2 linked regions of the Arabidopsis thaliana genome follow. The protein of the gene in region 1 purifies or fractionates together with the protein of each later gene. This does not show direct contact. Each region holds a gene or a part of one and is shown in the gene's direction. Other genes may lie near its edges. The genes, in order: STN7 and PSAF.

What was found.
Region 2: the proteins of STN7 (region 1) and PSAF fractionate together in Arabidopsis thaliana (co-fractionation; one study listed by BioGRID). This does not show direct contact.

The regions. Positions count from the first base shown.
Region 1 is NC_003070.9:25,866,307-25,883,094, reverse strand, and holds STN7 (Serine/Threonine kinase domain protein), read left to right. Parts: upstream 1-7,432; 5' UTR 7,433-7,621; coding exon 7,622-8,014; intron 8,015-8,106; coding exon 8,107-8,193; intron 8,194-8,273; coding exon 8,274-8,393; intron 8,394-8,473; coding exon 8,474-8,572; intron 8,573-8,649; coding exon 8,650-8,818; intron 8,819-8,909; coding exon 8,910-9,003; intron 9,004-9,126; coding exon 9,127-9,220; intron 9,221-9,325; coding exon 9,326-9,382; intron 9,383-9,780; coding exon 9,781-10,194; intron 10,195-10,279; coding exon 10,280-10,441; 3' UTR 10,442-10,683; downstream 10,684-16,788. Other genes in the region: AT1G68845 (uncharacterized protein), read right to left, coding at 177-330, 399-661; RAV2 (uncharacterized protein), read right to left, coding at 1,595-2,653; RTFL15 (ROTUNDIFOLIA like 15), read left to right, coding at 13,009-13,149; AT1G68820 (Transmembrane Fragile-X-F-associated protein), read right to left, coding at 14,295-14,373, 14,475-14,554, 14,645-14,725, 14,803-14,863, 14,933-15,007, 15,095-15,303, 15,385-15,637, 15,728-15,773 and 5 more. UniProt on the Arabidopsis thaliana protein: Serine/threonine protein kinase required for state transition by phosphorylating light-harvesting complex II outer antennae (LCHII).
Region 2 is NC_003070.9:11,209,105-11,224,202, reverse strand, and holds PSAF (photosystem I subunit F), read left to right. Parts: upstream 1-8,061; 5' UTR 8,062-8,263; coding exon 8,264-8,619; intron 8,620-8,882; coding exon 8,883-9,192; 3' UTR 9,193-9,527; downstream 9,528-15,098. Other genes in the region: KUF1 (KAR-UP F-box 1), read left to right, coding at 1,389-2,684; RUB1 (uncharacterized protein), read left to right, coding at 4,786-4,878, 5,283-5,542, 6,010-6,127; AT1G31335 (uncharacterized protein), read left to right, coding at 6,874-7,086; LBD4 (LOB domain-containing protein 4), read right to left, coding at 10,171-10,512, 10,920-11,096. UniProt on the Arabidopsis thaliana protein: Participates in efficiency of electron transfer from plastocyanin to P700 (or cytochrome c553 in algae and cyanobacteria). This plastocyanin-docking protein contributes to the specific association of plastocyanin to PSI.

The DNA.
Region 1 (16,788 bases):
ATAAGAATCCGGGAAGTGAGTAAAACCGAACTCATTCATCACACCTCTAATAACCCTCACTAGATAATCGACGCTTTCATCTCTATATAAGAGAATGTATCTTGTACAATTATTCATATCAGAGTCTATTATAATTTTTCCTAAACACCTTTGTGTTCTTACCCTCATCAAATTTATCAGTACCATTCCTTTTTTCTCGACATGAACAACAGAGGAACCCATCTCTGCTTTGACCAAGTCCTCCTCTGCTTCATTAAGTGATCTGCTAGTCCACGGACGATGCTGGCCTTGTCCTCGGTCGTCAACCTCGCCAGATGTGAGATCTTATCTCTTCAAATGGTAAAACATCATTAATGAATCGTGTCGGGAAACAAGGAAACCCGAAGCAATAATCATACTTACTTACCAACAAGGAACGAATCAGTTTCTTGCCGCCCCACTCATGCTCGCTTGCGTAAACAACATCAACCCTAACCTCTACCATGAACTGAGCGTAAGTAAGTGTCTCCTCGAACAGTAAACCCATGTCAACATACGACTGGGAGTAGTGAGACTTCACGGATAAACCCTTACCAACCCGTTGAGAATCGTATCGTTTTAAACCCGCGCGGGTCAAACATCTCTGTTTTGCGACTTTTTCACACTTCCGATGGCTAATCATACCGCAATGTTCACAAAAATCCCCAAGATTCTTGTACTTGAACTGAACAAACTGAAGCCATACAACCTCTAGCAATGGTTACGTACCATTCCGTTCACCAGCCTAGTCGTGTGAGGTTTGCCAGAAGCACTATAAGTCGCTTGAATCTGTTCGGGAACACATTACTATATTTTGGATTTCGTTCAGTTTACATATTTCTGTTTTGAGGTTAAAAGATTTCAGTCATTTATTAATGGTTCGACCTTTGGGGAACGAAACCTAGCTTATACCAATACCAGAAAACTTCGAGACGATAAGAGGCAGACTACTGCTAATTTGTAAGCTTGAATGGTGCCTTGACAATGTGGGCTATGAAGTGGTGAATTTCGAGAATGACTCTACAATTACATCATTCATGCCATATCCTCCCCTCAAGATTGGTCGAGACTCCAAGGTTGCTAACTTTTTTTTTTTTTTTTTTTTGCAAAACTTGTAAATATCATTAGAAATGAAAATAAAGGAATTACAGAAGCAACACCTAGAGTAGAGTAATCTTGGAAAAAAAGAGAGTAAAAGGTTGCTAACTTGCTATGTGAGATCATTAAGACACCTATGAGCATCCTTTAGTTGCCAAGTAAGAGAAATAAGTCCTTGTACGGTAATGGATGAAATTGCCAAGAATTCATCCTCTTTTTCCGATTTATCATGCAATTTTAGATAGTTAATTAATTTGATTCATCTAGTTTTAGGAACGGATAAACATTTAGGTTGTATCCGGTAACGTTTTACTATGAGGTAGGTCTATTTACCACTTTTCCACAAAACCATTGTTCCAATTTATTTTTTGGTCTTATCTCTTTTCCTAAATACAACCTAGCATGAATCACAACCTACACAACTTGACAAAAAAAAAAAATTAAAAAACGAAAGCATAAAATCGGAAAAGGAAATATGTCACAAAGCATTGATTATCGCCTGCTTCTTGGAACACCGTAACGCAAACATATCATCAACATCTCGAGATCTCTTTCCACCGCAAACGGCCACGACGTCGTTTGGCTTCACGGTGGTCACATTAAAGATATCAACTCCGAAAAGCCGAACCACCACCTGAACCGGGTTTTCTCTCGGACCAGACCGAACTTTCCAATCAATATATAACTGCCGCTCTAGTCCGGTCGATCTCTCGAAAGTAACAACATCACCGGCTCGAAGATTCTTCTCCTTGACGAATCGACTCCATCCCTTGGTCAACACGTAACTTTGACTACTGTTCCAGTATGAGTAACGGAACCTCCACACTTTACCGTTAACGTCTTCGAAGTTGATCAAAACTCCTTTAGTCACTGCCGGTGACGGTGACGGTAACGGAAAGTGTTTCTCGGCGTGTTGTTTAGGTATCACGAGACGGTTTAGCTTCCCAACGTCGCTAGGTGTAACAGCCTTCTCGAAAAGAACTTCACGCGTCTTTAAAACTTTGTCGTTTTGAGTAGTACTCGATCCGTTACGTTTTCCGTTAGCGTCGACGGAGAGAAACAACTGCCGTTTATTGTTCTGTTCAAGCTCGTCGGCGTAAGTGTGTTTTCTCAACATGTCGACGATCTCGGCCTTTGAGTGAGCTTCAAGAAAAGCTAAATCGCCGTCTTCCAGAACGTTCTTGAAGTTGACGACGGCGTCGCGGCCACGGAATCTACAAGCTGCGATGTCGTAGGAACGAGCAGCTTCTTCTTGCTCGTTGAAAGTCCCGAGCCATACTCGTTGGTGCTTCTCGTAGATCTGAGCTCCCCATCTTCCGTTAGGCTGAGGAACAACACCTTTGTATTTTGAAGATGGTAGCTTTCGTGACTCCGTCTCTAGGCCGTTCTCGGGATCCAACACGACGCTGCTCCCGCCGCTTCCCATCCGGTAGAGGCGTAACGCCGCCGCGGGAGGAGGAGAGAGCTTCTTGGCGGTGGTGGCGGAGAAAGATTCTGAAGTGGAGGAACTTATCTCGTCTATGCAACTAGAATCCATTTTCTTTGTTTCAGTTTCTTGAAGATTCTCACCAAACCAAGAAACAAAAATTATAACCTTTTAGCAGAAAGAAGAAACACAAATTGGGTGAGAGAGATTTAGGTGACGTTGTTACTTTTTCATTTCTTTGGTTCATCTATATATATACAAAGACATATGATGATGTGAGGAATGGACGAGGCAAGTGCATGTACATGTTATTATTTTATATCTAATTAGTTTTATGTTTTTGAAAGTTAAAATTTGATTGGTTTATGGAAAAAAATGGGTCAAAATGAGAGAACATTTTAAAAATGGAAAGGTAGGGTCAACGCTTTCAAGAACGGCAAAAATAACTTTGAAGGAAGTTTCCGAGAAGGGCAGACAAAAATAAATGTAGTACCACGGCTTTTACATACATATCGTACGTTTGTTATGTACATTTTTTGGAAAAATATTTCAACGGCGTAAGAACATTTTCTTACAACACATTACCACGTACTTTCATAAAATAAGGTTCTCATCAATCATCATATAAGTTGTTGAAACTGATATATAACCATAGTCAAAATTATTATTTTTATTGGATAACGAGAATTTCTTGGTTTTATAACTTATATATAGTTTCCGAAAAAAGATGGGTAGTATAGATTAGATATAGTTAAACATTAACTCTTGATTTTATTCATGATATTAGGGATAATAATATCCCACATTAGAAAAGACAAAGAAATCTTGACTAGTATATAAGACATATATGAGTCAATCTATTTATTAATAGTTGGTTTTGAATTAGATACCTCATATTCTAATATGGTATTAGAATCTGATCCATATGTATTCAATCCAATCTACAATTGGTCCGACGTAATTATAGTTTTTCTGTCGATCTATATCTGAACATACTAAAATTAATGGCTCGGAAAAAAATTATCTCGAGAAAACGTTTTAAGGATAATAATATCGCATTGAAAAGAAACAATTTTTTTGACTAAAATATTACATATAGACAAATCCACTTATTATCAATTAAATTTGAATGAAAAGTTCATATTCTAATAGATCATTAATTCATTGATTTATTATCAATGATCAATCCATATCAAATTTTATGTACAATTCAACACAGTTATGACATTCTAGATGCTTGGAGGAGAAACTAATTCACTAAATATCGATATGTTTTTCAACAATCCAAATATGTTCAATTATCTTGCTACATTTTGACATACATAGAAGAGTCAGATAAACAAAAAAAAGTCAGAGAAGAAGAAAATAAAATAAAATTAAGTCATTGACAAAAAACAATACATACAAATGAATAACCAATGGGTTACATGTTCATGGTAAATGTGGACCTACCAAGAGGGTCAAGTGGGATGGGGGCTCACATGAACCTATCCTCACTTCTTTTTTTGGTATATTTTAGTTCATCCCCCTTTGAAGCAATTGTTGTATGACCATATTTTTTTCACCATCTTTATATTTTTATTGGTTAAATGTTTTGTAAATTGATTAGAAAACAAAAAAGAGACTTTTGGATAGGTTGGTCGCAAGGATTATGATCTTATCTGATACTGTTGTCTCATACACTCATACAAATATCGTAACATATTCTGCTTTTTATTATATTTTTCAGTTTCCTTCTTAATTTGTAGCTCTTCAATAGAAAATGTTTTGTATTAATTTTGCAATAAGCAAACACTAATAATTCTCTTTATACAACTTACCATGTGGTATATGATATTTCTAATTTGTTACATAATATATAGAATAGTATCGATGTATGTATCTCTATATATATTTGAGAGAAAGAAAAATGGATTTATTGTGGACATGGCGTGATGTTCCCGCTTGGGAGGGGAGACAATTTGACTAGTTTGAGCTTATCCAACCAAATATTTTTGAAACACTCCAACGTTGATACGTTTTAATTTTCACCCTTTTAAATAGTTTTCACTTTACATATTTATAGCTTTTTACTAGTTTGTAACTATAATGTTCATATCGTCCGATTGTTTCTTGAATGAACAATTATTTTGTATTGATTTTTTTATATAATCGTAGACACGTATAATACTATCTTTGAGGTATGAACCGATAAATTTGTTGCTACCAATAAAAACTGAAAACACACTGTATTTCATAAATTTAAGATACCATCCGAATATGTTCTCTTACTACTTACTAGACTACTAGTCCAACTCAAATTAATTTGATTAAGAAGAATTAATTATATACTTGAATCCATATCTATTTAAACACTACAATATGTATTTCTATATCACCTCTCATCATCCCAACACATTTAATTTATCAATTAATATGAAACTTCAATAACCATCCAAATCACATGATAAGTTTGAATGCTGAATCAGTAATAATAAATAAAAATAAAAACATCAGCGAACAAGAAAATTAAGCATATTTTGCTAAACCCTCTCATGTTAACTATGGGAATTAATTTCTTTAACAAAAAAAGAAAGAAAATTAAGCATATTGATAGAAAATATCCTGAGAAAATCGTTAAAATGTGGATATAAATGTTGAGAAAAAAAGACAAATAATTATTTGAAAGTATAAGAAAAGGTCCATGCAACGTAGGAAAAAACATCGGGGTAAGGTGTCGCAACAGACGATGTCGTTTGGTCAACAATTTGGAGATGAAATTTAAAGTAGGAGAAAACTTGTGATACGTTTTAAGAACGAAAAAGTCAGCTCCATCATTGTCATTTGTCACTGTTAAGTATGGACCCAAACCTCATCTCATCCTAATTTTAGTAATATTCCGATTCCATCTCACTCGTTGGTTTTAGATTCTTATCTTCCATCGTTGAGATCGTACAGTTTTGGTAAGAAGACAAAGACTTCATGTATTATTGACATTTTTTCGTATTTCCATCTTCGGCTAATCAGACTTGACTAACTAAATTATATAATTCTGGTGGAATAATGAAACTCGTGGCCTAGTTTTGGACCACCAGAACTAACTTAATTAAATGATTATACCACCAGAACCAACTTAATTTAACTAATAGATTCAATTTTGTGGCTCCTACATACTATATAATTGGATACAAAAGTGAAAAGAAGAAAACTTAAATATTAACTAGCGTGCGACTAATTAAATATTATACACATCAAACTTTTGTAAATTGCAGCAGCCACTCGTTAGCGAGTTTCCATGACCTCACTAAGTAATGTTTACACATAAGTATATTATTGTTTCCGTTTACAATATATATAAATGATCTCACTTATAATATTGTCAACAATGAATTTATGTAAAAATATTAGACGATAAGCTAATTTTTTTTTTCATGTTGCTGAATCAAATAATCTAATTTGCATTTGTTAGATTTACTCAAAACTAAATAAACTTGAAAGTTTATCAAATCAATACTTTATGTAAAAGTGACTATCTGAAAAAAAAAAAAAAAAAAAAAAAAGTGACTATCTGGAAATGAAGCGACTTTGTCCAACTTGATGTTCTGTTCATAAAGCCGAGCAAAACAACAAATAAATAAAACTAACTGAAAATAAAATTATCATTGATTAGTTTAGCTAATTCGTGACTTAATGTAGTGATTAGTACTATGATAATATCATGTGAGGCAAATGAGAATATATTTGACTGTATCTTTTGATCACGTATCCACGTCGATACAGACAAGCTGTATATGTTGCGCGTACATTATGGTCAATGTTCTTACGATTCTTTTCACATTTCTTTTCCAGTGCTAATACAAATATTTTTATCAGTATACACGTTATGGATTCATTGTATAACTTGTCATCGGTGGGAATAATATTTCTCATCTGTTATTTATCCGTTATGTCATTCGTCGATGTACGACCCGCTTCAAAATAAAAGAATTTCGTAATTAGTAAAGCAAATACAAATTGTCAATTCACCAAATAGTGATCAAATATATGTTTGTCAAAAAAAATTCTTATATCTTAAGAAGATCAGATAGCTGCATTAAATCTTTGAATATCCGCTTGATTATTCGAAACGAGTATCATAACATCAACAAAACTAGTAGAAAGTATACAAGTAATGAAAGTAATTATATATATGGACTATATATAACATTTGTCTAACATTTGATAGTATTTGTTTTTTCTATGTCAAACAGTGATTTGTTATATCGATTCATAACGAACCATCAAGTTTTGGCCTTAAATGTTGGCAAGAAATATTTATAAATGCGTCGGTCAATTGCGTGACAAACTTTACTACAGTCATTATTGTAGAATGATAGTATATAGTATTACTTTGATAGGGAGTAGCATGTTAGTTAAGAGTTTAAAAGCACCAATTTCATATAATATACAATTATGAAAGGGAAAATATAATTAACTATCTCGCAAACAGGATTATGAAGTCAATTAGCTTACGTACATCGAGGTCAACGAAGTAAACAAATTTGCCAAATCGTTGTCATATAATAGTTGTACGGAAATGGTCAAAACACTTCATCAAGAAAGTTGATTTCTATTATTTCAATGGCTTAATGGTATACCATATAATATCATATATTTAAAAATGTGAGATTTTGTGATACACATCAATTGACGTAAATACATTTTAGGAAGACTGAAAGAAAAACAAATTTAAATTTAAACTTAAGATTAGCCGAGTCTTACTTAGCTTCAAATCGATAATTGATGGGGACTTTTCTAAACCAGAGTTTATGATCGGGTGGCGAAGAATTAGATTTATGGATCTTATCACTAAAACAACATGAGAAGCCCATTTAATAAGCACTTCATCATTAATGGGCCTAAAAATAAGCCCGTTTATTAAACCTTACATATCCGAATCTGATTTTAATCGACGTGTCCTTTGTGGTGTAAATCTACTAATTAATTTGAATGAACAGAAAAAAAAAAAAAAAAAAACTAGTGGTGCGAAATCAACGACTGTTTAAGGAATTTTGATTTTTTGTCTTCCAACAAAATTCTTCCGGTGAAAAAAATTCCGCCATGGCTACAATATCTCCGGGAGGAGCTTACATCGGAACTCCCTCACCGTTTCTCGGCAAAAAACTCAAACCTTTCTCTCTAACTTCACCGATTTTGAGTTTTAAACCAACGGTTAAGCTCAATTCCAGTTGTCGCGCTCAATTGATCGATACGGTTCACAATCTCTTCATCGGAGTTGGAGTTGGACTTCCATGTACGGTTATGGAGTGTGGTGATATGATATATCGAAGTACTTTGCCGAAATCTAATGGTTTAACGATCACTGCTCCTGGAGTAGCTTTAGCTCTCACTGCTCTTTCGTATCTATGGGCAACACCTGGTGTTGCTCCTGGGTTTTTCGATATGTTTGTTCTTGCTTTTGTTGAGAGATTGTTTCGACCTACTTTTAGAAAGGTTTGATTTTTATGATGATTTGAGGATTGTTTTTGGGTTTTGTCTCTTGGTTTGGTTGATTTTGATGGGATTAGGTTTTGGTTTTTGTGTAGGATGATTTTGTTGTTGGGAAGAAATTAGGGGAAGGTTCTTTTGGTGTTGTTTATAAAGTCTCATTATCTAAGAAACGTTCTAATGAGGTAAAAATAAAAGCTTTGATCAAATTGTTTATAGAGTTTCACTATCCTATATTGAACCTTATCATGGTCTTTGTTGATAGGAGGGTGAGTATGTATTGAAGAAGGCGACTGAGTATGGTGCGGTGGAGATTTGGATGAACGAGAGGGTTCGAAGAGCTTGTGGGAATAGCTGTGCTGATTTTGTTTATGGATTTCTCGATGTAATTTCTCTTCCTCTGAAATGATGTTTTCCTTCGACTTCCTTGATTTATGATTTTGGTGTTTGTTGAGATTGGTATAGAAGTCTTCAAAGAAGGGACCTGAGTATTGGCTGTTATGGAAATATGAAGGAGAATCAACACTTGCTGGTTTGATGCAGAGTAAAGAATTTCCTTATAATGTATGTGATTCTTCATGGTTATTTATCCTTTTGTAGTTATGTTATATGTTTTGTCACATTCTAAGGTGATGATATAGGTAGAAACTATCATCCTTGGGAAAGTTCAAGACTTGCCTAAAGGGTTGGAACGAGAAAACAAAATTATTCAGACTATCATGAGACAACTCTTGTTTGCATTGGATGGTCTTCACTCAACTGGGATTATCCATAGGGATGTTAAGCCTCAGAACATTATTTTCTCAGAAGGTAAAATCATCTGAGTTCTTGAACCTTTTTGAGCAATGAACCCAATGAAAAGATGAGGACTCATGTTTTGTGTCGACTAAAACTTGAGCAGGTTCTCGTTCTTTCAAGATTATCGATCTTGGAGCTGCAGCTGATTTGAGAGTGGGAATTAACTACATTCCAAAAGAGTTTCTCCTTGATCCAAGGTCTTTTTCTTTTCAAAATTTGTATCTTTCTCTGGCAAGGATCATAAATGTGAACTTTCTGTTGTTGTAAACTTCACGTTTCTCCGTTAATAAGTATCTTTCTTTTCGGGTTGTTGCTTTCAGGTATGCAGCACCTGAGCAATACATCATGAGCACCCAAACTCCATCTGCACCTTCAGCACCTGTTGCAGCTGCACTTTCCCCTGTCCTGTGGCAGGTGCAAACTTAATTGTTTGACTATGCGACCTTAGTTGATATAAAGCTATCCTAGTTTCATAAACTTAAGTGTTGGAATTTGATACTTATTGTTTTGTCCAAACAGATGAATTTGCCAGATAGGTTCGATATCTATAGCATTGGCCTCATCTTCCTTCAAATGGTAAGCAGCGATTCACCAATTGGCTTTAGTTTTCTCTGGATTTTCGACTCACGCATGTTCAACTATCTTTTGACAAGCCCATAGTCCGTGTGTTCTGGTTGTGTCAATTAATGTTAAAAATGCGTTCATCAGTCAGTGACTAGGATTAGAGTAAAATAGGAGCTCTTTCAGGTTTCTAGGGGTGTTAGTTTGAGCCTTGGGAGAGTAGGGAATGCTCTAGAATTCATTGCCCTGGATTACTTTTGGTTCTGTTGTTTTGATTGTTCTTGTTTTTTATCATCCCTTCTTCGATTATCAGAGCAGAAACCAGTTTCGTTCTTATCAGCTTCCTTGTGATGGAAAACGAATCCATCATACATACTATCTGTTAATATTCTCATCATGCTTTACCATTCCAGGCATTCCCATCCTTACGATCTGACAGCAACCTCATTCAGTTCAACCGCCAGCTGAAAAGATGTGACTATGACTTAACAGCTTGGAGAAAACTAGTGGAGCCTCGTGCAAGCGCTGATCTCCGTAGAGGGTTCGAGCTTGTAGATCTAGACGGTGGAATCGGATGGGAACTTCTAACATCGATGGTCCGGTACAAAGCAAGACAAAGAATCAGCGCAAAAGCAGCTCTTGCTCACCCATATTTCGATAGACAAGGATTGCTCGCGTTGTCCGTCATGCAAAACTTGAGAATGCAATACTTCAGGGCTACACAACAGGACTACAGTGAAGCAGCAAATTGGGTAATACAGTTAATGGCAAAAAATGGGACAGAAAAAGATGGTGGATTCACAGAAACACAACTCCAAGAACTCAGGGTTCGTTGTCAATCTATACTCTTTTCATTTTCTTCGAGTACCTCCTCAAGCCTTAACCATTGTTTCTCTTTTTGTAATATTATAGGAGAAAGAGCCTCGAAAGAAAGCGAATGCGCAAAGAAATGCTCTTGCATCAGCACTTAGGCTTCAGAGGAAGCTTGTGAAAACAGTCACTGAGACCATAGATGAGATTAGCGATGGCCGCAAGACCGTTTGGTGGAACCGATGGATCCCCAGAGAGGAGTGAGGACAGACTCTACTTACAATATATCATTTTTCATTTCGGTTTCGATAGTGTAAATCTCAATGTATATCTTATTAGCCCTTAGTAAAATTTCTACTACTTGTAAAATCAAGTAATCTTAAAGAAAAAGATGTATTGTACCTAAATCCACAAACTTGGGAGTCTCTGACTCTGTTTCTGAAGTTTCATAACTTTGTGAATACTTGTTTATGTCCTAGGAATTTGTGAAACCCTCAATTAAAAAAACAAAAACAGAAAGAAGGTATCTTGAACAGCACGTTACCCTTTCGGGCTTCGGACCTGAGAAGTGAAAAACCATGAGCTACGCACGAAGAGTCAGAGAAGTCTCTGGTCAAGCAATATAGCTTGCTGGCTCTCGAGGTAAGTAATTGTCTATTTTAATTTGTCTAAACAAATTCCGTTCGTACGCCATTGAAGCTGGAGTCGTTTCTCTAACTCAACCTTTTTTTTTTTTCACTCAGAGCACATGCATTTAATACTCTAATACATAATTTTATGGCTTGCTTTTAGCAGATTTTATATTATAACCCAATATAACAATAGCATCTAACATTTTTTGGAGTAGGGCTTCGAATTAATATAGCAGAATAGATAGTTCAATGGTCGAATAGCTTCTAGTTGAATAGTCGTAAAACGTTAACAGAAAGTGGTTTAATTTTTTCTTCTAGTTCTGTTTTTTTGGCATACCACCAACTAGTGGAATCATTTTTCAAAATTATATAAGAATTGATGACGATGAAAAGGTGTATATGAGAATCATTTTTTCACGTTATGAAACCGTATAAAAATGGTATATATATCATTCATGAATGTAGTTTTTTTTTTTTGTATATCATTCATGAATGTAGTTGTTTGAGCTTTGTTGGATCTAAAAGGTATAATGATCACTCTCACGTTTATCCATCGCACAAAGCACACGTACGTAACTTTTTATTAATTACGTACACAGAAACGCAAATACTAATTAATTTGTTTAAATTGGTCACAACCACTAGAGGTGAAGAAAAAGTTGGTTCATAAAAGGACGACAAGATTTCAAAGAAAGAAGAATGACAGAGACCAACTCACATACTTAACCATAGATTAAAAAAGATAAGTGTAACTTTTAGTATTTTCTAAAACTTGTTCTTTTAGACGACCAAAAGCTAAAGGCATTTTGTGAATCACGAGAACCTCACGTGCGGTTCCACTCTCCATATTCGAGGACTTCACTTTAACCAATGACAACAGCCAGTAAACCACATCAAACCACACCTAGCTCTACTTGGTTATTTGTGTAGCTAATTATTTAATTAACTTCAATCTTAACGTTAACTATGAAGCTGTGATATAGCTGTAGGATAAGATCTTCCAGTGCTAATTTTAATACCCTTTGTTTTGAGTTGTTAACGATTAATGTGAATTGAAAAAAAGAAGAAGATGATTTACTTCTCAAATCATACCAACTATTTGTCGGGTTTTTGGTAAAAGATTGATACAATCTCACTTATTATATTTAGAAGAATCTAGAACTTAGGATTATGCCACCTAATTAACGCCTAACTGTCCCACATTTAGTTATATAGTTTGGTCTTTAATACTGTTATTGACGTTTGTTTAATTGTTTCTATCACCAATTTCGGCGCAATGCATTTTTATACTCTACAGAACTTCATACAATTTGTCTACCAATAATTTATATCTGACTGAAATAGACTAAACATAAAATTCGATCCTTTGAATATTTCTCCATGTGGCTACCAGATTTTACTAGTGTATATATTACTTCTAAACTACAATTGGTCGCTATGGAAATATCACTAGCTCACAAGTCGCAACAACTATTTAACCTATGTCTATTAATTAAAGGAATTTAATGTTATTCTTCATTAGTTATTATTATCAATCGCAATCATCATTAAATCTCAAATATGATTTACAATATGTTGCGGGGACCAGGCCACTTGTCGATTTTGGATGGTTAGTATAGTAGTTCCCGACAATTTTGGTTGGTCACATCTTTTGCTAACTTCGAATACGGGTTGGTATACACTTAGGATTTTAGACAAAACCATATCAAAGACTGATACACTTAAGATTTTAGACAAAATCCATTATATGAAAGACTAAACCAATCGAATTCGGTATAGTATTCATTGGTTACAGAAAATGGTAATTGAGTGGATCCGACTTTAACAATTTTGGGTTTGGTTAATGTTTTCATGAAGAGAGAGAAGCAAAAGCATGTGATAGAGGATAAATAATCACATTTAGGGCAAAGATTCCTTCAAAAGATGGGGTCCACGTGGGTATGGAGGGGCACAGTGTCCGGTGGGTTAGGGAACAGTGCACAAACCCCAACGGACCCACTCGTTGCCTCTTTCATGGACCGGTCTAGTTCGGTACGGTTCGGTTTCTGTCCTTAGCCACCACCTTTTTCTCACTTCTATATATAACTCCTCTTCATGTATCACCTTCTTCATACTCCATAACATCATTTATATCTCTCTCTTTCACATTCAGTTCCAAAACAAATTACACATTCTTGATTTGTGATCGTTATAGAGAAAATGAAGACGACCGGTTCGAGTGTAGGAGGAACAAAGAGGAAGATGTGGAGCCGTGGAGTGGGAGGAGTGGTTAGAGAGCAAAAGGCTAAGCTTTACATCATAAGGAGGTGTGTTGTCATGCTTCTTTGTTGGCATGACTAAAATCAAATCATTATCAACATCATCATCATCAGCTTAATGAAGACTAACCAAAGATTTTCTTCCTTTTTCCTCTTTTTTTGTTGCGGGTCTTACTTATAACCAACCCTTGGGAAGAAAGCTTTTATATGTATTGGCTTCTAAACGGAGCTATATATGTATTCCTTTTTTGTAGTAGATTTTTCATCCCAAAGAAGGTTTTTTCAGATGTATATTTGTAACTTATTAATCGATATCTTTTGCTGTTTATTGCTGATTAAGTTTCTTTAATTTTGCTTCCGATATAATGACCTTCACAGTTCACACCAAACAATTTATAAAGGTACAATTCTAATTTTTTTACTATCAAAATATATTGAGAAGAAATAGAATAAATAACATGCATGATCCATCATATTTTCTTCACCATTTATAAAGGTACAATTCTAATTCTTTTTTGTCAAAATGAGTTTAATTCACAACAGAATAATAACAAAAATCAATTACATTATCACCAACTCTTTTTATATAAAAATGCGGCGGACTATAGACAAAAATACCAGAAAATAAGAGTTTAGAGATCTTTTAAAACACAAAATTTGTTTTGATATTGTTTTTTTATAATTGATTTTTCTATTAAATGCATGAGAAATAAATTGTTACAAAGCCTTTTAAGTCACATTCGGCTAACAGCCCAAACATACCAAAAAGAAGAACCATGTTAGAATCACATTAGAAATACATAGTTGAGGCCCAATATGTAACTTTGATCAAATACCCAATCTGTTGATCAATCTCATCGGTTTGTGGCCATATTCTTAGTTGATCATTCCCTTGTTCCTTTAAACATGCAGAGAACAGAAAAGCTTTTTTGGATGCTCACTGCCTAACCTCGATTCAAAATCCTTTAACAGTAATATGTTTTATTTCTTAACCGTTACCACTTGTATGAATCTTTGCAAATTGTATGATCAAAAAAAAAAAAAGAGAGAAAGAAGATTCATGACATATACGATGGTTTACAGTATTATTTACATCCACTCGAAAACGAATCAGAATTTTTCCTATGCAAGTTGTAACATATATATATATAGTGCTTGCTTCATTACTAAAACAAAACCAAACAAGCAAGAAATGTATTCTTCATTTCTGGATTGGAGCTCTGAAATCTACACATCGTATACAGGCATACGCTCCTCGATCAGGACACGACAAATCGGACATTTCTTGCATTTCTCGCAGCATGTACTGAAAACCAAATGTATCAGTAAAATATCAATTATAGCCAAATGCTAATTCTACTATGCGGTTAAAGTGAGATAGAGAACAAAGAAGGAGCTTCGGTTTACCTGCAGAGGACGTGATGTCTACATGGGAGTAGAACCACGTTGATCGGATCTTCAAAGCAAACTCTACAAAGAATCTTCTCCTGAAATTCAAAATTTTGTAATTTATTGGGTTAAGCAAATCGTTACTTCTGTGGAGGTTACTAAACAGAGAAAATGAGTGGAGGGAGTACGTTTTGAAGCCTTTCGTACTCTTGCTGGCTATAACTGGTGATATCTGTTTGCTCACTCAATGCAGCTTGAAGTCTCCATATCTGGTGAGGGATTTAAAGATTAAAGATTTTGCTTTGGTTTCAGATATTAAAAAGGAAATGACTTATGTGTAACTTACCTCTTCAACAAGATCAGACTTTGGCATTTTCTTCACAACCTCTGGTGAGAAGGTGTTGTATCTGAGTCAAACAAAATTGTTGTTAACAGAGCCAAATTGACGACTTGTTAGCAAAAGATGAGAGCTTTACCCAGTAGCTTCTCCAGAGTAGAGCCTTGCTTGTTCTTCCCGACTTCCTTCATCGATAGACCACCAGCCAAGTAATCTGTGATTTACAATATGAGAAAGATTAGTACTTAGGAGGACTTATTCCCCATAGATTCCTATGTATAGTTCGTTTCTGCTAACGTACCTTGCACCATGTTGAAAGAATCCCAGGAATTCACGAGCTGATGATGTTGCGGTAAAATATCTTCCATAAGAACCACTACCACTATTTATTAATAAGACTGATTTCTCAACCAATCTATACATAGCAAAAAGTACCCCAGCTCCTTGTAACAGAAAAAGAGGTACAAACAGAACTAAAATCGGAATGTTTTTGGCAGAAGCTGGCGTTCCCTGAAGTAAGATTAAAGAGAATTAGCTCCAACCAGGGAATTCGTAAATGTTTCAAAAGCAATGGATTTGTCTGTGTTGTACCTCTAAGCGCATGAAAAGGATGATTTGAAAGGTCACAAATGGAATTTTCATAACATGTCCACCAATATCTTGGAGACCACATATTCTGTTGCTTTGCTGATGCTCGTCGTCAGCGGTTACTACTAGACCTCTGTTCCAATCCAGATATCTTACTACCATTGAAGATGAGCTAGGTTCCGGTATATGTGAATACCTATGAATTGACTGATTGCTCCACTTTGTACAGACAAGAAACGCAAAGCACTCTGCTATTCTGTGAATTGAGGAGAAAGAAGATTGTTCAAACCTGGCACAGAAGACATTTTTAAGAGGCAGAAGATCTTAAAGAGAAAAAGTAGTTTACCCGAAGTTTATAAATAAGTCCCACCATCCCAACGCAGCTACGTCACCTATATAAGGACTCGAAAGATAACAGATTCAGAAACAGATTGAGATAGAGAGATTATGAAGCAGAACAACAGTTATGAGTATGCAGTCGATTTTACAAAATTACACACACACACGCACGCTAACTGTTAGAACATGCAGTCACCAGATATCATAACAACCTAAAATTACTTTTCTTCTTTTAATCTTTTAAGTTGAACTAAGGACATGGAAGTGACACCTATAAGATTGCAGTTGGAAGGGAGAAGATCACTAACTCCAAAAAAGATAGTTAAGTAAAAGCGTAACATACCACATAATTTAAGAAGAGTGAAGGTTGTTGCGGCAATGAAGAAAACCATAGATATGGAAACCCAGAAATGCTACAAAACCATTAGACAATGTCAGAGACAACCTGCAGAGACAAGTTAAAAGAGAAATATAAGGGATCATATTTTAAACTTGTCGAGCTTTGATTACAGGAAGTGTTTCCCATATGGCTTCATCACTCATAGTTTCTTCATCTCCAGGCATGAGCGTCCTGCACATTCTGCAGGAATAGTTGCAAAAAAGATTTAATTGTTCCGTACTCTAAGAGTAGTAAGAAGGGTGAACAAAATCAAAAAAGCTTTGAATGGAATACCTGACATTATCTATCAAAATTGCTACCTCAAATGCAAGCAACGGTAGAAAGACAATCTTTAAGTCAACAACTGCAAACAGAGGAGCACAACCAAAGCCTATAATAAACCCACCAATCATACATGCCGTGATTCAATGAATAGAAGTCATGGAAAATACCATATTTATCTTCAAGATGTACACAGAGAAGGATCTCAAAAGCAACAAGAAGTGGTGTTGCCATAACCGAGTGAAAAGGAGCCCACTGCCACAAGACCAAGTTAGGACTTAAACACAACAAAGAATCAAAGGTTCAAAATGAAACAAGAGAATCATAAAAATGCCATACATGTCGATCATGAGGCATTGATGGAGCAGGCAATGAAAATCTACCACGAGCAATCACAGCATGAAACA
Region 2 (15,098 bases), about 15 Mb from region 1:
AATTGTTACATGGTATTCTTTTTCAATTCTTAAACTATTCTACTAGTTGAAGTTATTTTCTTATACTGCCACACACTAGATATTGAACTGTAAAGATCTTTAAGCAATCGGGATACTATATTAAAGTGTTCGAGCTAAACCCACAAGTACATAAAATTGTAGATTGAATAACTTCTTGCCTTAGTTTGGATAGTTTTCTTTTAAAAAAATTATAGTAATTTATGTTATAATTCAATGACTTATATAAAAGGAAGACTTGAACAATGAACAGTTAGACAGAGATTATAAACACATCGAATAATTAATATTTAGCAGCAGTGCACCACACATCAAACTAACTTGATCGTTCAGGAGAAAGAAACGATTGATGTACGTTAAAATCCAACGCATATCCATTATTGAGAAGATTGGGAAAAGAAGGCTGGATCTGGATCACACACCAAACGGATGTCTCTGTCACTTTTTTTTTTCCTTCCAGAAAAATAAAAAATAATAATAGAAGTTGCTCTAAAAAGGGAGATTTTGGACCTTATCATAATTATCAATGAATCAACAAAAATATTATCCAATAAGATGCGCACATAATATTAATATGGATTATACACACTAGCACAAAGATGAAAGTGGAAACTTTGTAAATTTATTCATATAGAAATGTAGAAAATAACATATAATTATAATATAGATTTGCATTGTATGACAAATTGACAATGAAGAAAATGGAAATAAGTTAATAATGACTAAATGCCAATAGAATTTTATAATTAGAAGATTAGGTTCTCCCCTTTACCCTTTACTTACTTGTCAGCTTCTTCTTTTTTTCTTTCATCTATTTTTTATGTTTATGAGAATTCTTTTTAATTAAAAAATTATGGTGATAGAGTTAAAAAATAATAATTATTATGGTGATTTTTCTCTGCTTTTTTTTTTTTATCTCATCCGCAAAAAGGCTAAAGTAACCCTAATATAGTTAATTCTTGTTTTTTTCATGAGTATATTTTAAATAGGATGAAGTCACATATTTTAAAAGCTTAAGCCAACAAAACTAAGTTTTTACAAAATAAATTTTATTTCTGTTCACCGGTTCTTTTTCGATATTAAAAATTGATCTCGATGGAAACCAACCACAATTCTTACTAAAAATCTCTAGTCTTCACGTCTTTGTTTAATGGTTGATACTTGATAGGCTTCTGAAACTAAAATACTGTATAAGATAATCAAATATAACTAATATTATTTTACTGATAAAATTCTCTATAGCCACTTGAATACTATAATCATATGTGATGCTATAAATGTATAATTTTAATTTTATAAGTTAGCTTTACGTATTTATGATAGAGATGGTAACACTTTCCAACTTTGGCCTTTTCGATTTTGATATATGTATGGCTCCTACGCCTTTACTTACTTTTCCCTCTCATTCATTACACTTCACGCCTCCTTTATCTCTCTTTAATAACTCCAAAAAAAAACAAAAACAAAAAAAGAGAGAGATGGAAAAAAAACTGAAACGGCGTGAATCAATGTCAACCACCGCCGCAGAATCACCGCCGGCGAAACGAAGAAGAACAGTCACCGGAAATGAAAACTCCGCTTTAATCGAAGGACTTCCCGATCACATCTCAGAGATCTGTCTGTCTCTCGTTCACCGTCCGTCGTTACTCTCCGCCGTGTGTACACGGTGGCGCCGTCTTCTTTACTCGCCGGAATTTCCTTCGTTTCCGTCACTCTACGCTCTTTTCGTCGATTCAACATCGGATACGGGTCGGGTCAACCCGTCAGTCCGGTTTATGTGTTTCAACCCGGTTTCTTCAAAATGGTATCCGCTTCCTCCTCCACCACCTGACCCGCCTCTTCACCGGATTCTTTACCGTCATCCGTCGTTTATCTCCTTTAATTTACCGATTCAATGCGTCTCCGCCGCCGGAAAACTCATTCTCATCGCCGGAAGTAACCAACAACTCTCTCCGGCGATCTCTCACCCGTTAATTTTCGATCCAATTTCGTCATCCTGGAGCTCCGGTCCTCGAATCGGATCTCCAAGACGGTGGTGCGCCACCGGAGCTTGCGACGGAGCTATCTACATCGCAAGCGGAATTAGTTCTCAGTTCTCATCAACCGTCGCGAAATCTGTCGAGAAATTAGATCTAACCGAACAAAACCGGAATAACCACCGGTTTAATTGGGAGAAATTGAGAGATATGAGAGATTTACGGTTTAGTCGAGAAGCTATAGACGCTGTTGGATATAGAAGAAAGCTTTTAATGGTAAATGTTAAAGGAGACGCGGTTAAAGAAGGAGCTATATACGACGTCGTTAAAGATGATTGGGAACCTATGCCGGAGGAGATGTTGGTTGGATGGAGAGGCCCGGTTGCGGCGATGGAGGAGGAGATTCTTTATTCGGTGGATGAGAGGAGAGGGACAGTGAGAAAGTACGATGATGAGAAGAGAGAGTGGAGAGAAGTGGTTGTGGTTGAAGGTGGAGAAGAGATGCTTAAAGGAGCTACGCAAGTAACGGCGGATTCCGGTAAACTTTGTGTTGTTACTGGTGATGGGAAAATTGTTGTGGTGGATGTTGCGGCGGAGCCGGCGAAGATTTGGAATGTTGAGATTCCTGATGGACTTGAACCGGTTTCGGTTCATGTTTTACCAAGAATGAGTCAACCGAATTTTTGCTGACGTATTTTTTTTGTGATATTATTATTATTATTATTATTATTCTTTTCCTTTAGTATACGGAACTTTTTTTATTTTCTGTTTTCCCGTTTTTCTGGTGGAAAAGTGTCATCTTGTCGTTATTTTTTAATACCTGCACTGCAAATGAAAAGACAATACACGTCAGAATTTTTTAATCTTAATTTATGGTATACAACTTTATATAATTTTTATTCAACTCGTAGTTAAAAATAAAAATCTGTTTGGTTGTGGAAATATGGAATATCTCTCTCTCCTTTATGAATCAACGTACAATTATTAGAAATTTCACATATCAAATAAAATAAAATTTTGGATACGAATGGTTACGATAGTTGGAGTGGACGAATCCGTTTATGGAGTGAACCTCTAGTATAATTTATAGTAGTACATGTCAAAAAATATAACAAATCTGATGCGGACTAACTATGATCCGTTTGTACATAGAAATAAATTTGGTATACAATAGATTGTTATCTATCCCAAAAATATAATAATCTAATTCGCTAATCGTTTAGCGAATTTCGTCCGCTACATGCATTTAAACCTTTTATTCATATATACATTGGGGAGTCGATTCATTTTATCATTTGATTTTAAGTTAATATTTAAGTTTGATGAGATTTATAATGGTTCATTTACCTATTATCTGTTCTATTTTATGGAGATTGATTAAGCATACCAAAACTGACCAAAAGCCATCGGTGATGCTATAATGTTAAGAGACTCACCAACTTGGAGTAAACCAGAACAAACCACGTTTATTCAACAACTCAAGATGTAGACATACAAAAATATGGATAAGAATCACCTATTTTATAAAGTCCTCTCATGCATTGTAAGGCGTTAGCTATGTGTAACTTGTTTTTGTTTTTTCGTTGCATCTTTATTGTGGTGTTGAATAACTGATTTCAATTTTCAATTGACTGAAACCAACTTTCAGAAAGCTAACATATGTCAGTGAAAATAAAAAATCAGCAGAAAATTAATTGAATTTATATGTAGAAACCAAAGCTTAAAAACCTTAGAATAGAGAATTGAGAAAAGTGATCTATTGGGTTGGATTTAAAATTATCCGATCCATTGGGCTTAATGAGAGACCTCTTTGTGATAAATTGACAAGAAATAAAGGCCATCTTTTATATGAGCTCTTCACGTCAATGTGGACCATCTTGTAATCTATCATATGGTTCATACTTTTAAAATCACATGGGTTCTATATGTGAACAAGTTTGAATAAAGATGGTGAAAAGGCTTTTTAGTGGTTGAGAAGAAAACGGTTAGAGAGATGTCTTTAATTTTGGTATGATGCCATTGGGATACACATATGGTCCAAACAAGCGTGAAGCGTCTCCAATACCTACATGAAAGGGTGAATTCTTTCACGATGAGTCTGCGTTTATAATAACAAAACGCTAGCTAGAGAGACAACCCATTCAAGTCCAATGAAATGTTGTCGAGCTTTTAAGATTCTTCCATTTGACCTTTCAGGTTTATCACCGTCTAAAATTGAACATAGCTTGATCTCTTTGACCATAGTATTTAAGAGGTTTCGCGTCAAACCACTCACTGCCACAACATGGTCCATAGTATGTAGAGACTAGTGGGTTTTGCACTAAGCTCTAGATTCCAACAAAATTGAATGTCAACAATTTGTTGTTTTCGTTTTTGGTTCTAAAACTAAAAAAAAAATTCAATGTCCCCATATTTTCTTAAAATCTAAGAAAACTAATTTTAGTACAAAATCTAAAAACTCTTTTAATTTTTGTTTTTAAAAGTTAAATATCCTAAAATAACAAACAAACAAAAAAATCTCAATATATTTAAAGCCACATTAATATATTTGATTTAAAGATAATTTTTAAAATTGTTAGTAAAATTATATAAGAAATGGAGAAGAAATAATAGCGTAGCCCAAAAGCTAATTACGAATTCTATCAAAGGATTTATTCCAAATCTTTCAAAAAGTATTTTTATTCCAAAATCCTCAAAACTATATCCCAAATTTTATTTGTATATATATAATACTTTTCCCGTCCGTAATAATATTCATAAACACCATTTCAGCGAAGAAAGGAAAAAAAAAATGCAGATCTTCGTCAAAACCCTCACCGGAAAAACCATAACCCTAGAGGTCGAAAGCAGCGACACCATCGACAATGTCAAAGCCAAAATTCAGGTTTCTCTTTCTCTCTTTCTCCGTCTCCCAATTCCACCTCCTCGTGCTTTTCTTAGGATTCTAGGGTTTTGCACTATGAATTTGTTTGATTGTTGGAGACACAGATTGGTTTGCTTTGTTTGATTGATTTTTAGGTTTTCTTTCCCCGATTATCTAGCGATCGATGTTAAGATTTCTTTAGATTTCTGTGTAACAGTAAGCACAAAGGCTCTCTTAATCCTTCATGTGTTTGCTTAATTTCGTATTTGTTTATGTTTTATGGTACACTTGAAGGTATGTGAATTGCTTGAGAATGGTTAATTGTTTCTGAGTTTAAGAAGATTGGATTAAGATTATTGTTAATGATCTTTTGATTTGGTCTTCTTCTAATTGGTTTATGAATGGATGGGATTTGATGAAAACAGGACAAAGAGGGAATACCACCTGATCAACAGAGGTTGATATTTGCTGGTAAGCAGCTTGAAGATGGTAGAACATTAGCGGATTACAACATTCAGAAAGAATCGACTCTTCACTTGGTATTGAGGCTTAGGGGTGGGACTATGATTAAGGTGAAGACTCTCACAGGGAAGGAAATTGAGATTGATATCGAACCAACCGATACTATTGATCGGATTAAGGAACGTGTTGAGGAGAAAGAAGGTATCCCTCCTGTTCAACAAAGGTAAATAACTTCTTTTTTTCCAGTTACTTCAGAAGAATTGAGTCGCAAAGTTTTTGCCTTGGGAACATTGAGTCTTGAACTATATTAACTCTTTGTGATATCTGTCTCAGCTCTCTTAGAGTTGTTTGTGTGGTTGAGTCAAAACTGATTGTATAAGATAGGTTGCAGTTTATTGACTTGAGTTTCATGTTTTAGTGACTTGCCCCTCTTGTGAAAATTGCAGCTCCTTTCAGCTCAGCTCTTTTACTTGATTGTATAAGTTGCGGTTCATTGACTTGATTTTCATGTTTTAGTGACTGGCTGCTTCCCTCTTGAGAAAATTGCAGCTCCTTTCGAGTGTGTTTACTTATGCTTTTGGCATCAAACGATTCTACTCTGCGTGCAAGCTGATAATCTATGCTGTCTCATATAACAGTGATTCTCATTAGTATTTCTAGGATGCTTATATATCTCATGGATGTTTGCAGGCTAATCTACGCCGGAAAACAGCTAGCTGATGACAAAACGGCAAAGGACTACAACATAGAGGGAGGCTCTGTTCTTCATCTGGTTCTTGCCCTTAGGGGTGGTTTTGGTCTTCTCTGAGAAGTAACTCTTGAAGATATCTTTTTCTCTTTGTATGGCTTGTTGGAGTTCATGGGAAAAAAGTGATTGCAATTTGGATATGATACTTTGAATATTATGCTGTTTCACTGGGTTTGGATCATTTTACCAATAATCTGTTAAATATCGAATCATTTTGTTTTGTTTAACATCGAATCGTACTTTAACATATTTATTTGGGATTTAGCTATTTATGATGAATATCTTTCATTCAAGAAAGAGGCTAGACATGTGAAAATAGGATCGAGCTATGTGTAAGATCGGACCAGGCCGATTGAGATTGCTGGTTGCATGAGTCCATCAATAGTCCCATATTTATTTGCATTACAATGAAATAGTGGTTACAAATCGTCAAATCCAATGAGTGTCCATCACATTTAACAATTTTTACTTTAATTTTCTAAGTAACTTAACTTGTCAACTTGAGTTTGATTCTCTATACTTTCATAGCCAGAAAAGCACATGAGACATGACTAATGTGATTATAAAAACTAGAAGAAATCGTATGGATGGGCCGACCAAAAAAAAAGATGACCGTTGAGATTTAAACGTTAAGCTTTAAAGCTTTACAAGACATAAACGTTGCGGACAGAATCGGATCCTTCCAGAGCCTCCCACAAACTCATACATATAAATACATGTGAAGTAGAATCAAAGCAAGAACAAGAGTCCAAGAATAAAAATCAATCAGAAAGAAGATTGAACATAGATCTCAAGAGTCAAGATCGATGGGTTTGGTTGTGGTCATATCTCTGCCTCTAATTTTCTTCTGTCTACTTCTCGGATTTGGCTGCTACTTCCTCGGAAAATCTCGCGGCCGTCGTGAGATCCGTACAAATCCTCAGGTGTATGGAGCTCCAGCTCCGCCTCCCGGTGCTATCGCCGCCTCCTCTCCGCCGTTGTCTCCACACGCCAAGCCCGACAATTCTCACAACGTCTGATTTTCCTTCATTTTCTCTTCTTTGTCTGTCTTGCTTGTCTCTATTGGAAGATGCTTTTGTTTGACTTATTGTGAATTGTTGTAACTTGTAATCTTTTGATTGTCTTTAGTTTTCTTGGGATGAATTTCCTTCTTTATTTGTGTATTTTCCTATCTCTTTGATGTAAATAAGAAAGCTAGTAATGGTTTACACATTGATTATTCTATAAGAAACATCTAGAAAAGAAAAAAAAGGAAAAAAAACATCTAGAAATATATCAGAACTTCTTTCACAAAAGAATAATATATATCAGAACTGCGTGTTATTAATTCAACGAGTTCAAACTTCAAAGTATGATGTGGTAACACAACCAAATTCTCCTCTCGGATATAATTAGACCAAAAAAAAAAAGACGAAATATTTTTGCTATAAACAATATATATATGGGTAAATGTGAAGAAATTTGTTTCTTCTGCCAGGAAATAGACAGTTAATACATTGAAAAAATGGTAAAACTTTAAAGAAAAGCATATCTTAAGAGATGAAACCCTAATTAAGGTGTTGAGACTTCAGAGACAGATCAAGAGATCTTATCAGAAGATATCTGTGAAGCATTTCAAACAAACATTACAAAAAATGTAGCCTCCTTCCGGCGGAATGGTAGAAGGAGTTGTAATTCTGCTAATGTTTATTTTGGTCATATATAGATTTAATTCTTTGATATTGCAAACTCATGATCCCATTTTCTTATTATGTGGTTAACCAATAAAAGACTCAATTTTGCAGTCTTACTAATCAGGACTATTTGCCAAAAAAAAAACTAATCAGGACTAAAAAACTACATCTCTTTTTTTTTTTGCTACATATATATATATATATGATTATTTTCAGTGTATATATAATATGTATAGATATTAAAAATAAATAAAAGATAAGTCGTGTGTAGTCCACATATCTTGAACATCAAAATGACAAAACTATTAAAATCCGCGGCAAAATCTCTTATCCAGTGACATGTTACTTATCAACCAATCACAACACGCCACCTCATCACCCCAAGACCACTTCTCTTATCTTCCTCTCCCTCCACTAATCCCCTCAAGAATCTAAAGCTCCTCCCATAAGTCTTCTCTCCACACTTCACCCAAAACTCCAGAACCCTAGAATTCGAAATCTCCAAAGAACCCGACAAAGCGCCATGTCGCTCACTATCCCGGCGAATCTCGTTCTCAACCCGAGATCTAACAAATCTCTCACTCAATCCGTACCTAAATCCTCCGCAAGATTCGTCTGCTCCGATGACAAATCCTCCTCCTCCACACCTCAATCCATGAAAGCTTTCTCCGCCGCCGTCGCCCTCTCTTCCATCCTCCTCTCTGCTCCTATGCCAGCTGTCGCTGATATCTCAGGTTTGACTCCTTGCAAGGACTCAAAACAGTTCGCTAAAAGAGAGAAGCAACAGATCAAGAAGCTTGAATCTTCTCTTAAGCTCTACGCTCCTGAATCTGCCCCTGCTCTTGCTCTCAATGCTCAGATCGAGAAAACCAAACGCAGGTTCGTCTTCCATTTCTATTTCTTCGTTAAACCAGAGCTTTTTCTCTGTTCTGAAACAGAGCTTTCCTCTGTTCTGAAACAGAGTTTTTCTCTGTTTTAGTGAATTACTTGCTAGATCCATTGCTTTAGTATGATTTTTTTGGTGAGTTAGTGAGTTTTCGAAGTTGCTAGACATGTTAAATTTGATCATTGATATGATCTATTGAGGAGCTTGTGGAACTGTGGATTGGTTTGAAGTTGATGTGCTTATGAATGTATGTTAGGTTCGACAACTACGGGAAGTACGGATTGTTATGCGGGTCAGACGGTTTACCGCACTTGATAGTGAACGGAGACCAGCGGCATTGGGGAGAGTTCATTACTCCAGGGATTCTTTTCCTCTACATTGCTGGATGGATCGGGTGGGTTGGAAGAAGCTACTTAATAGCTATTAGTGGTGAGAAGAAACCCGCGATGAAAGAGATCATCATCGATGTTCCTTTGGCTAGTCGGATCATCTTCCGTGGTTTCATTTGGCCCGTTGCTGCCTACAGAGAGTTTCTCAATGGTGATCTCATTGCTAAGGATGTTTAAAAAGGGAACTTGTTTTCTGCTTTTGTGTTACTCTCTCTAATCTCTTTGTTTTCCATTGTACTTATTGAAAAACAATGCATTGTCGAAAACCTTATAAAATTTGGATTGCGCAAGTAGAAAGAATTATGGCTAAAATGGTGATTGACAGATTGTGATTTTGCGGTCTAGTGATTGCTATGTGAAGCTCAATTGCTTGAAGGGAATATCCTGATATAACGCACAGGAGCATAACCAAATTTACTTAGTATAATGCTATTTTACCACTCTTGCATTTGCATGAATGCAGGAGAAGCTCTTGAACTATAATAGACTAAATTACTTGTGTTTCTTCTTAAGCTCACTGTAAATTTCTTACCACAAGCACATGCTCCGGTCCGGTCTTTCTGTTTCCTTCATATGCGAGCGATTCTATCAGCGACTATCAAATGGCAAATGTTTGCAAGGAAACCAAAAAATAAAGACAAATGGGCCATAAGTTTGCATAATAAAAATTCAGGCCCATACAAGTGCTTAGTGCTAATTGCTAAGCTAGACTTAGCTAGTATCAAAGATGACCATTACACGATAATATGCTCACAGAGTCAAGCACACACCATGGGTTACATGATCATAATTGTATATAGATATAGATAAATAATATATCTCACAAATTTACATTAGGTCAATAACAAAGATCCCTCCTCGGTTGGAAATGATCAAAATAACCCTACCGGATCATGATCCAAAGGTCCTACACATACACCAAATCCCAAATACCCCGGAATTACAAAGTTACAAATACTAATAAATATATAGAGAGAGATTTATAATATATAAATATATTTAGTATTTTTATGTATCTATATCATGTTAATAATTTCACTCTGTAGTCAAAACAGAGCATTTTCATATCCTACCCCTAAATTTAATATATAATAATCCCGAAATTTCCCAAAAAAGGAAGAGGAAATTGCAGTAGCAGAAAGAGAGCATTATTGACTAGCAAGACCACATAGACTCTCCCAAACTGGCTTCATCCACAATGTCCATATGGCTAAACATGCCCTTGTTGTCCTGTGGACTCACTTGCTTCGAAGACGGTGACCCGCTGCTACTCGGACTATCCGGGCATAGTCCGTGCCCTGGGAAATTAGTCGACTGGCGTACACGTAGATGCACCACCTCAGCTTGAGCTAGAGCTAGCTGAGCTTGCAACACATCTATCTGTTGCTGGAGGGACGAAATTGCCCCAACGCAACCGTAAACCGGATCCCGCACTCTTGCATTAGCCTCGTAAACCATGCTGCTCACAGCGTCCCCTCGCTGGTGGATTGGTAATTCCTGTTGAGTTTTTAAAACATTTTGTCAGCCACTAGACCAATTAATCTCGCAAGACTATATAAAATTTATATAATCCATCTCAAATGTAGACTCTACATCAGCTAGCTAAGAAATGTAAATCATATCATTAACATTAGCTAACAAAAGTTAATATGGTTAAAATTCAACATCAGCTAATAAATGTAACATATTCCTAAATTCTTAAAATTCAACAATTTTGTTTTTAAATCCCTAAACTTATAATATAAACGGGTCGGCCCATGTGGTAGTTGTCAATAAAAAGTTATGGAAATGATAGTAATGTCTCATCTAAAATAAGAAACAAGAAAATCATCCTAATTAAACCTAACCCAACATATGAGTAAGCACGTTTTAGATATTCTTAAGAAGAACAAGAAGAAAGAAACCTGAAGCATCTTGTTGACGTTGCTAGCACCGAACACTCTATGAACATTAGCAAATTTCTGAGGCTCATCGGCCGGAAAATACGGCGAGAAAACGCAATCTTGAGCGCACCGCCGCCGCAAAAGCTTACACGCAGCACACGGTGACGCAGCTCCTTGCTTCCGGCTACTTTCTTTCATCTCTCGCCGCCACGTGTCCTTTGGATATGTGAATTTATCTAGAAGAACTGAATCTCAACCGTTGGATTGTCAGTTATCGAGAAAGCTGTGGGAGGGTCTCTAGGTGAAGTGTGACGGATCTGTGGGGATTTATAGAGTGAGAAAGAGAGATGAATTAAATTAAATTAAAACTGAAAATTTCCAAAGATTTAAGACAAAAGTAAAAAAAATAAAAGTCAGCACATCTGAGAGTGGGACCCAGAGATTTGGAAAACTTTAGGTTTGTTTTGCTTTGGTCGTAGAGCAAAAATTAACATCACGTGACATGACCATTTTAGTTTTACTTTTGGCGCCAAATGCTATTTGTTTTTTTTATATTCTCTTTTTGTCTTTTACCCCTTATCTATTCTCATTGGTCTTAATTTTTTTTTTTAACTTTTGATTTCTTTTTCCCCTTAATTTGTTTTGCCTTTAATGTTTTCTTCGAATATGGTTGAATTAAATGGTACAAGTTGTAATTAATATTCGGAATCACCACAAAACTAAATAAAGAGAAATTGTAAATGATATACTCCCTCCGTTTCACAATATAAGTTGTTTTACCTAAAAGTACGAAGATTAAGAATATTTACTTTTAAAAAGTTCAACCAATCACAAAAGAGACTGCATAATATAAATAATTATAAAATATTAAAATAAATATATAGTTTGCATAAAAACTTAAAAACAATTTAATTGTAAAACAAAAAAATTGGTCCAAAACAACTTATATTATAAATCGAAGAGAGTATAAAAATATTAATCAATTTACTTTATAGCAATTGGTTTTGAAATAGTCGACCTATAAACTTTAATATTGGAATTCTATACTCTTTTTTTTGTAGAGTGAGCTACAAGAGGGTTTTCTGTTTGGAATGTTACATCTTTATTGAAAATGTGTATAGGATAAGGAAATTTATGGCCTCGTGCTTGTGCATGTAATCATTGTTTCTATATCTTTTGTGTATTGAGATTCTCACAACTTTCTACGTGGTCCCTCAATTTGCATAGAAGGGGATTAATATTAAAATCTGAAACAAATGAAACTTAATTTTCCATTGCTTAAAAATCGTGGAAGGGTAAAGTGGAAATCTAAGAAGCAATTCAAAGGAATTAGAGGTATCAATCTAACAACAGATATTTTAAGTTTGATCATAAACTTTAGTAAACTATAATGGACAAGTCTTTATCACCGGTGGTTGGGTCAAGGGTTGAAAGTTTAAACGATGGTGGATGTCTTCTTTTCGGATTCTGTGTGGTGTGGTTAGATCTTCTGTTTTGATGCAAGTCAGTGGTTCTTATTCTCGACTGCTTTGAGTTGATGTTCCTACGTTTTGCTGGTCGAGGACTCTTACAATTTTCTCTCGGCTCGGTGATTTCTGAGATGTAGTTCTAGTTGCGACATAAGTTGGGTTACATCTCTTAGACAATGTAGGTAATACTAATATTGATGTATAAAAAAAAATGCAAAGATATCTATTTGTTGATATTTTAGAACATAAAACAGTATATTCTTAGAACAGAAATATACTATTTTCACATGTACCCATATCAAGATTTTGTTTTTAGTACATTTACATATTATCAAGGTTTTCATTACATATTTGAAGCAGATTTTGTAAAAACTCATTTTACGGTCATTATAAAAAGAGAAAAAACAACCTTAAAATAAACACAAAAAATATAGGGGCAGGGCAACAAAATGTCTAGTCTTTCACTAGTCAAAAAATAAAGTTGAAAGAAACAATACAGTGCACGCTATTTTATTTTCGTAGAAAAAGACAAAAAAAAAAAAAAATTAAAAAAATTAAAAAAAGAAAACGCCCACAGCTTTCGAAATCAAAGATAGCCTGAAAATGACGAATGTAGAACATTTTACAAGGACGACAAAAAAAAACATTTTAGAAGAAAACTCCCACAGCTTTAATAGAAAAAACTGTAAATTCTTTTCATGAGATGTAATATACTGAGTATTAAAACTAACTTTGCTTGTGTACAAATAGGCAAATCTATGTATATTTGCGATTATCATGTTCTTGTTAGAGCTATGTTGATATATATAAAATCGTTTTTTTAGTCGTAATTGGCGATAGAAGAAGACTCCAAAATTTCATGTCAACAAAAAGAAAAAGGAAAGAAAATTCCAAAATGAATTTGGAAGAATTTAGAAAGATAATATTCTTTTATTAGAAGGAAAAGAGAACTACACACACTCGACAGTTTCCACTAGTGATAAGATTTGTATTTATATTTTGGTGGAGTGTCTTTCCGACAAACTTCAACAGTCGACTCTTTTGCCGTTTTCCATCATTCTTATTGGTTATCGACAAATTAAAAGTTCACTAATTAATTAAATTAGTCATTTGTAATTTGTATAATGAAAAAAAATAAAAAATCACTCTATACTTTATGATCACAGACGTAAGAACAGGGACCGGACCAAAAAGGTTGATATATGTATTTTACTATTTCGTTAAATCATAATAATTAAAATGAAATGTTTTGGACCTAATGTGTCGGTTTCAATAGATCTTCTCCTCTCCAATCCCAAATCTTTGATTTGTCTGTAATTGGCAAAAAAAAATTTGCATCGGCAGGTGGCTACTCGTTTTCTTTGAACCTGTTATTATATAATGATTTACAATTAACACACCTTACATATTCAACATACAGTACGTGACTTTTTCAGATTTCAAATCCACGATATATGTTACTTTATAACCATATTATAAATTTTTAATCCTGAATCAACATCATACGTACATTGGCTTTTCAATTTTGTTTATCTCCAACTTGGTGTCGATAGCTTCATAAGACACATTTACTTACCATCACTCACTCTACATGGAGGGAGCATGGACTATCCTTTCCTTCAAACCTACTTTGGATGTCTTTTTTATTCATTGGGCTCAATTGGGTTTTGTTCAGGATTCACTCCTTATCCCTATGGATTCTTTGTCTAGGAAAATATAACCTAAAATGTGGTTAATTAAAGAGTAATACTCCACCTGTTCCACAGTAAGTGTCATTTAAAATTTTCACATATTTTTTTTTCTTTCTAAAACAAACTTTGGATTTTACCCCTTATTAAGTTATTATTATATTTATTTTTTTTTCATTATTCATACATTAAAACGATAGTTTTATCAAAAATCTATATTGAAAACCTAAAGCTATACTTGTTAGCAAACAAAATTTAAGTTATATATAAAACAACATTTGAATTAAAAGGTAAAGAGGATAAATTAACATTATAAAAAAACACTTGTTTGAAAAGTTTTTAATATTTCTTGACAATCCTTAAATTAAATAGCCCCCTTCTAATAGTCATACTTAGGTAACTATACGTTTTTTTTTGGAACAAAACTTGGGTAACTTTACTTAAGAAGTAGAGTATATATATCATTATATGGGGTCCTTGAATTAGTCATTTTTACGAAATATAATGTACAAACTACTCATGCAATATATAATTTTGTCATTACATCATGAGTGTTATTATTACAATTGGTCAACTCTTGTTGTAATTATAAAAATCAGTGGTAGTTAATTTGTCAAATTAAGAATGCAACAACCCTATTGATTACCTATTATTGTCCCTTCTTTTTGTAACCTCTCCCTGACTTAATAATGTTACTTTCTAATTTCCTCAACCCAAACGACTGAGGGTTCCATTGATAACATCGTTCACAAATATAGTTAACAGTTTTTTTAGCAGTTGTTGAACAAAATTGTTAGAGCAAGCAGAAGAGAAGGTGAATAAATTAAAATGAGCTGTAAAATTATGGTTATGATTGATAACAAGCGGTCAAATAATAGGAACGTTGAAATAAAAATAATAAAAAGAAATTAAATTATGATTAATATATGTGAATTTATAAATAAATAAAAAACAAATCCAACCGTCTTATTTTTTTTTCTCTCCCAACATCTCTCTACAACAATCTACTTATTCCAACCGCTTCTTTTAATCGCTTTATTTAT